2 linked regions of the Danio rerio genome follow. The protein of the gene in region 2 binds, or shares a complex with, the protein of the main gene of each other region. Links are inferred from orthologs where the notes say so. Each region holds a gene or a part of one and is shown on either strand. Other genes may lie near its edges.

Evidence for each region.
Region 1: gtf2h5 (region 2) and polr2b share a complex: the UniProt entries of both Homo sapiens proteins name them as parts of the TBP-based Pol II pre-initiation complex. The link is inferred for Danio rerio from reciprocal best matches to the Homo sapiens genes GTF2H5 and POLR2B.

Annotation. Positions count from the first base shown.
Region 1 is NC_133189.1:58,454,861-58,458,687, forward strand, and holds part of polr2b (DNA-directed RNA polymerase II subunit RPB2), read right to left. Parts: intron 3,696-3,827; exon of another isoform or gene 3,252-3,695; intron 2,308-3,251; coding exon 2,196-2,307; intron 2,115-2,195; coding exon 1,960-2,114; intron 1,601-1,959; coding exon 1,402-1,600; intron 1,042-1,401; coding exon 873-1,041; intron 1-872. UniProt on the Homo sapiens protein: Catalytic core component of RNA polymerase II (Pol II), a DNA-dependent RNA polymerase which synthesizes mRNA precursors and many functional non-coding RNAs using the four ribonucleoside triphosphates as substrates.
Region 2 is NC_133195.1:28,728,635-28,733,002, forward strand, and holds gtf2h5 (general transcription factor IIH subunit 5), read right to left. Parts: upstream 2,926-4,368; 5' UTR 2,808-2,925; exon of another isoform or gene 2,782-2,807; intron 2,650-2,781; 5' UTR 2,585-2,649; coding exon 2,550-2,584; intron 972-2,549; coding exon 791-971; 3' UTR 386-790; downstream 1-385. Other genes in the region: protein SERAC1, read right to left, coding at 4,035-4,171. UniProt on the Homo sapiens protein: Component of the general transcription and DNA repair factor IIH (TFIIH) core complex, which is involved in general and transcription-coupled nucleotide excision repair (NER) of damaged DNA and, when complexed to CAK, in RNA transcription by RNA polymerase II.

The sequences.
Region 1 (3,827 bases), on a different chromosome or scaffold from region 2:
TGATTGGCTGACAGCCGTGCGATATTTTGCAATATCAGAACTCCTACAGCCTCTTTACCCTTTGTGTATTACTCCGCCCACATACAGCCAGCAGAAAACAGACACTACAGATCTACAGTGTAAAAGATGCTTGCTCAGCTGTTTAACTGTCAGCTTATGATTTTAATCCAATGTGGAAGAAAGTAGTTCCTCATACAAAAGGGTTTTTGAGACTCTCCATGTTTGATTTTGTTTTTATATACGCAATTATGCCGTCAAACTGTTGTATAAACGCAATATCACACGAGTAGCAGTGCAATATGGCTGTATATCGGCTTAGTGGTAGGGCCACTAAGGCACGAGGCCGCGCATCTACAGCCATATCGCACTGCTACTCATGTGATATTGCTCATATATATAAACATTCTATAAATAAAAATGTGGCTATTTTTACATGTTTTTTCCAAATATCTAAAAATTGATACATTAACTTAATTTAATTATGACAATTTATTATAATCAGAAACTCTTTAATGTCTACGCATTGAAAAGAAATGCACTTTTTAGAATGCAATTATTCACTTGGCAATAGTTAGCGGTTCATTCCGCTGTAGTGACCGCTGATTAATAAAGAGACTAAGCCAAAAAGAAAATGAATGAATGAAGTTCTTACAAATAAACCTCTGACAGAGACTCCTCCCCCTCCCACTCAGCCAATCCCTGTGTGCATCACTGTATTAGCCAATCACTGACATCACTATATTATCAAGCTCAGTCCCACCCACACTCTCCGTGTCAGACTTCTCCATAATCCTCAGTAATAGTTACAAAGGTAAGATGAACTGATTATCTCCAGTGCTGTGGACACACACGCTCTACTCTGCAGTGTTTACCTGCGGGCAGCTCTCTGAAGCGTAGATACTCCATGGAGCGTGTGGTGACCAGCGGTTTCTGTGGGTAATACAGCACGTGTGCCAGCGTGTCCATCCGCACGTGGAAATTAGTGATGTACACTCCCATAGCCTGCTTCCCCATAGCAGACTGGTAGGTGTTTCTGGGAGACTGTGGACAAGAGAGAGCATCTTATAGGACGTGTATTATAGGGCTGCACAACAGATCGTGATAATAGTATATGCATATGTGCGATACATTACATTTAGGTTTTGCATTGGCTGTTTATCTAAATTTGACCAATCAGATCAGGGGCTTTACTCTCTTTAGCCCTGCCTACTGAACAGTTGCTGCTCTGCTATAGGCTGAAGGGTTCTAAAGCTGAGCCCACAGCTGAAGATAAACACTAATGGACAGAGTCGAGACAAGAAAATGACAACAGCCAATCAGATGCAAATCACTCATTCATAGTGTTTTGGACCGGTTCTGGATAGCCAACCCTCATGGGCATACGTCTACATGGGCCAGTACCTGGTTGTGATCAGGGAAGGGAATGATGGATGCGCAGACGCCCAGGATCATGGACGGGTGGATCTCACAGTGCGTGTATGTGGAGCAATAAGCCACGCCCTTCTCCTGGAGGTCATCAGGGGTCATGGCCAGCATCACAGTCTCCTCCTCCAGTGTATCGATGTACTCCACCACACCGCTGGCCACCAGATCCTGCCAACTACACACACACAATAGTTAATAGCTGATGTGTTTCCTCTTCTCCATGATGACAGCACATAATATTAGACTAGATATTCTTCACGACACTAGTGTTCAGCTTACAGTGACATGTAAAGGCTTCACTAGGGTAATTAGGGTAAAGTTAGGGTAATTAGGCAAGTCATTGTATAACAGTGGTTTGTTCTGGAGACAATCCAACACTAATATTGCTGAAGGGGCGAATAATATTGAGCTTAACATGACTTCAAAACAATTAAAATCTGCTTTTATTCTAGCCCAAATAAAACAAATCAGACTTCCTCCAGAAGGAAATGTCCTTGCTCCTCTAAATATGACTTGAGGAAAGCGCAGATGTACCTGTAGTTGTTGTACTCTCTCTCCTTGAGCTGGTCGATGTGTCGTCTCTTCAGCAGCAGCTTCTGTTTCTCCACGATCAGCAGGGGTCTGCAGATGCGGCCGGCGTCAGTGTAGATGCGGATCTCTCGCTCGCGGATATCCCTGATCATGGAGACCTGCAGACCCACAGAACAACACCACGCTCAGCTGCTGCGCACTATAGAGAGCAGGATACCATCGAGAGATCAGAGCAGCACCTCAGACACGATGATGTCCATCTGCCTCCTCAGCTTGCGCAGCGTGTTCATCAGCTGCTCGGGGTCTTTGTGGATGCCCACCCAGCAGCCGTTCACAAAGATCTTAGTGGCGCTGAAGGAATAAACACGCATGCATTACACACTGCAACAAATGCTGTTCCTACTTAAAGATTTAGTCGTTTGCCACTGGGTTTCGTCAGGTTGGCTAGTGTGTTTGTTGATTTCCACACATCGTCTCTTGTCCAGTTAACATCGAAGCTCATTGGCCAGAATGAGCAAAGTCATGGGGATTCAGACAGATATAAATATCATGCTATTGTGATTACTGCTCTGTTCTTTTGAAATGTCTAGAGAGAAAAAAATACAGTTCTTACCATCCAAATGGGACGCCACTTTTAAAACATGATTGGATAAGGGTCTTATGATAATTGATCAGTTATTTAATGAAAACACTATGCACTGATTTTCTTATCTTAAAGACAAATTTATGTTGTCGTCAAGCGATTTCTTTCGATACTTACAATTAAGAAGCTATATTACAAATCATAAAGAAAAGGAAATACCAGTACTCAAAAAAGTCCCAACTAATGTGGTACAGTATTTTATTAATATAAAAAAACAAAAAGGACAACATAAAGGACACTAAGGGTGTCACGATTTCGATTTTAAATCCAAATCGATCGAAATTTATGCTTAATTTCGATTATCGAATCAAAAACTAGAATCGTTGATGCTGCCACGCCCCCAATGTCACGCCAGCTTGGCTTGCCAAGCGGGAAAAACACGCTTGCTGAAGTGCTTGTTAAACTGTGCAGATGCAAGAGACCCGTCGGCAGGGCTTAAACATTTAGGGCTCGACAATAAGACTGCCCGATGGCCCGGGGCCAGCGTGCGAGACGCTCGGGTCAGTGTACAGTGCCGCCTTGTTGCCTGCCAGATCGACCCAGAGCTGCGTGCTGCGACTGTCTGTCATTTGTGTGCAAATACAATCTTACGGTGCTTTCACACATAGATGTTTGTTTCGGAATCTGTCTCGTTTCCCCCGTTAGTTTGTTTGGCATATATCCAGCAATTGCGCTCGCATCCGCGCCAAATCAATCAGTCCGAGATCGCCTGAATGAGACGGTCTCTGCCCTACTGAGCGGATCGATTGTAGTGAGAAAACAAAACAACGACCCAGACTATATCACAGTGTATTATGATCGTGTAATGGCCATATATACGGCTATATGAAGAGAGAATGATGAGCAGGGCGAGATGTCATTCTTACCAGTAAATGCGAAAGTGAAAGCATGCTGAAATATTACAGAGAGCTGTTTATCCAGCCTGATCTCAGTTTATCCGTCAGGAAAATTGACCAAAGTTACTATCTGATCATTTTTTCATGTTTTAATCTTATGTTGTGTTAGGCCTGTTGTTTTGTTCATTTCCGCTCTGACAGCTCAAAAGAAAGAACAACATTGATCTGCTTCGCAATCTGATGCAGTCTCGGTTCATCTGCTATATACAGGGCTGATAGTGGAAAAAATTCCTGAGCCTGAACTTTTTTTTCCTTGCTGTTTTAATTTAAACGCATTTATTTTATGTATTCGTAGTCATACTTCCGTACGTAATATAGTCATTTGACAGTAC
Region 2 (4,368 bases):
TCTACTGCTCTTGTTTGACTAACTTTGACTAGTTTGTACATTTTCATATTTGGGTGAACAACTACTTTAAACTGTGATGTTGTACAGCCATTTTCATTTTAGGTCAACTCTCAGGTATTTCCATGAGTGCATCACACCACTTTTACTTCCTCTTTAAGACATGCTGGATATTTTTCAAATCGAATGCAGTTCACTCTTTTAATTTTCCCTTCACCACAAGGTAAAATCTTTTTACCAGTTTCAGGATCAAATATTGAAGGCTTGTATTGGTGTTGTAGAACATAAACAGGAAGGGAACCTAAACCTACACAAACTGGCAATACCACAGAGTAGATCAAATTAAATCCTATGTTTTGAGGAGACAAATGAATAAGAACACATTAAATACTTTAGTTGAATTCTTCTGTTTATTTGACACTAAGCATATTATGCATGAAGTTAAATCACAGACATCACCCGTCTGCATTCAGTATGACATATACTTTCAGTAAAACATAACTATTTGTAGGCAATGCCATCTTGCATGTAAAACAATACTTTCAAAACACAGGACAGCCTCTGTCTTTTAAACATATGTCTTTAAAAACATAAACAGTTTAAAGTTATACTTTTTTCAGATAAAAGAACTTTGCAGTCAAACTAAACCAAAGAGAATACACATCATCATCCCTGTAGGCAGTCATCGTCTCTATATTTCAGCTTCATCTGTGTTTGTGCAATTGTGCTGAAAGAATCTCCACATCCATCTGCTCCCACAGACTGAAGGGTCTTGCTGTCAAGGTTCAGATGTTTATTTCTGGGTGATGGGAAATGAATTCTGGTCCATCAGTTCTCCTACTCGCTCCTGGAGAATCTGCACAACTTCAGCTAAGATGAAAACATGCGTGTCGTCCAAATCCTGGATGATGAATTTCTTCCCCAAAGCTGACGTCTCATCCAGATATAGTAGAAACTGCTTCATAGCTGGATCACTGGGTCACATTTAAAAAAAAAAAGAGAGAGAATTATATATGAAGGTGCACTACTACTAGAGCATGACTTTTATTTTAAAGGTGCACTAAGAATAGAGGTTTGTCAAGCCTGTATTTGATGTTATTGACATCTGGCTTTTTTCAGATTGAGGTAAAGTGGGTTTTATATCCTGCATATTCAGATTTTCTCCTTATAATATAATTTCAGAAAAGTATTCTTTACAAATTCTAAATAGGAAAATCATATAAGCAGCCAATAACTATCAAAGTACAACATTGTTCACTGTCAGTTAAATCGTGCTAATGTTGTTTTGAAGTCATACTTAAATTAAATTTCAGACCCCATATTCAAATTAGCGTGGTAAACGATATAGAGAGCTTTAAAATGAACAAATATAAAAAAATAACTTTACCTCAATTATTTTCAGTTGCTTCTCAGGAAGTAAACCATCGAAATTGTGACAATAAACAGAATTAAGTTCACAAATACTGCACAATTTGAAAGTTTAACTGATCCGATACCGTGCTAAGGATGTTGCCTCGTGGTAAAGAAAAAGTTTTTAGTTACAGGTAACAGTGAATAAATCCAAAATCTAACAAAACGTGCTCAGGGGTAGCTTATATAATCGGTGCTCTTTGGGTAAGGGATTCATCAAAATGAACAGCAAAAATCCATCCAAAGCACTCGAAAAATATGGAAAAAATTTTAAAAAGCCTTTATTCACATAAAAAAACTACAGTTTTTTGCCTTTATAAAACAAAGAACTGTTCTTTTCCGAAACGCGTAGGTTTTTTAAAGATTAGCCATGTGAATAAAGACTTTTTAATATTTTCTCCACATTTTTCAAATGCTTTGAACTGATTTTTGCCGTTTAACAGTGAATAAATGTTAACCATCTGTCGACTGTAATTATATTCTCGCAAGTAACGTTTACGTTAGTGAACAGTTGTTCAGCAACATTGCTTTAGTGGCGTAAAAATGTAAAATAAAAGTACTTTTCTACTAGGGCTGCACAATATTGGAAAAAATATACATTGCAATAATTTTTATTCCGTGATATACACTGCAATATGAATACAATTTCACCAGATTAGTTAAAAAACGGTTTGTAAATAATTTATAATTTTAGACGGATTGGGATGATTCATAACATATAACAAGCAACCTACAAGCATAGATGAATTCAATAAAGAAAAAATTGCTAATTAAATAAACAGCATTTTATTGCTTTCTGAAGAGTCTAAATGTATTCAGGTACACATGAATTAAATAATCAGATGTAAAATAATACTGCATAGTCTTTGTTTTTTATAAACAAGTCAATAAAACGAATCATTATAGCAAAATGATTAATTATAATCCAGACTCAACATTGTGATCACATTGCGATATCGATGCTGAAACGATATATTGTGCAGCCCTATTTTCTACTAATCGGATATGAATCCACATTGTGTGTAAGCACATTAGATTTAACACATTTCTTAAATAAACCCACCGTTGGATTCTCGTTTAAATGTTGTATTGAGGTAAAATGACCAGTGCAGCTTTAAATGGCAGTGGTATGTAAAACTTACCATTCAACGAGAACTCCTTTCAACACGTTGACCATTTTGGACGGGGTGTGTTAACACTAACGTAACTTACTGCTGCTTCAGTAAAGGTACAGTAAAAGCTCTGTATGAGAGAAAACGAAATAGCAACAAAGCCGTCCACCATGAATGACGTTAGTCCTTACAAATATTTTACATTTTGTTTACAGCTCTTAAACCTATACTTTAAAGACAGCGTTAAAACATACACACTAACATTCTTATTGTCTTTTGCCACTTTACTTTGTTGCAGTGACTGGTGTCAGAAAACTATTTAGCGTTTAGAAACAATGGTTTTCCTCTACTCACCGACTAGTATTGGACCAGTCAACTCCACTACCCTCTGCTGGCTTGGAGCGCAGTTCAGATCCTATTTGACTGCTCTCATACCCTGACAGAAAAGTACAACACCCACCTGGAAGTTTCTCGCAATCCTGAAGACTTTGATTATTTGGGACATATCTGTTTTGAATTGCGAATACTAATCCCTTTTTATTTAACGGTTACAATAGTGTGTCATAGAGATTAGAGTACTCATTTGCATTACAATACCGCTACTGTGCATTCGTTCATTTCCCTTCGGCTTAGTACCTCTATTCATCAGGGCCCACTTCTCCAGCATATGTTTTACACAGCGGATACTCTTCCAGCTGCAACCTAACTGGGAAACATCCATTCACACTCATATACTATTCACCTATAGAGCATGTCTTTGCAGTTTGGACTGTTGGGGAAACCGGAGCACCCGGAAACCCAATGCCAACACGGGGAGGACATGCAAACTCCATACAGAAATGGCAACTTACCCATCCAGGACAAGCCACGGTGTTGCCCTGCTTTACAGTGAAAGTGTTTATTCTTGGAGAGGAAAGTTTGGATTCAAAACTTTATTCACATGACAAAGATTTGGCAAAATAAAGTACTGTGGTCAGTGAATTAGTACAAATGTATTGGCAATTACAGCAACATCAGTACTTGTGTGTCTGAGGTAGTAGAAAGAAAGCTGGTGAACCAAAAAAAACAAGGCAAGGTTTCATTAGCATGTCTATTTTGTTCAAGTAGAATAAATATTATAAATAAAACTGAGTTTAAAAATGTGCAGTGATGTAGTAAACATACTAAGTTTGATAATCCTTTTTTTTGTTATGTCTAGTTAAAATAAATGCTAACAAGTGCTCATTCAAATTACTCTGAAATGATATACAGTACAAGGCTTTGAAGGGGTAAAACATTAAAAGTTAAACAAGGATTTTACCATAATACATATTCATATGGCAAGCATAAATAATAATAACAATACAAGTGAAATGTCAGTGGTATTTCAAATGTACAGGACATTACAGTTTAGATGTCCAAAAAGCTCCAGTTGCAATTGTAAAACTTCCTTCCTTCATGGCAGTCATAGATAACACTATCTTTTAAAAAGTGATGCTTAAATCCTTAAGAAAGCAATTGAAACTGTAAAGACTTTCACTTAATTCTACGTCCCCCAAGAGCATCCTGAATAAACTGTAAAGTACGCTTATAAAGAAACGTGTCCTTCTTTTCTGGCTTGCAGATGTTGAGGTGATCAACGTCCACCTGGATGAGGTCTCCAATACCCAGATCTGAAAGAGCAAAAGAGGAAACCGTGATACCAGGTACCTAAAACTAACAATCATTATAAACCAGGGGTGTCGAACTCAATTCCCCGAGCTGCTCTGCACAGTTTAGTTCCAAACCTGCTTCAACACACTTACTTGTAGGTTTCAATCAAGCCCGAAGGACTCAATAACTTTGATTAGGTGTGTTTAATTAGGGTTGA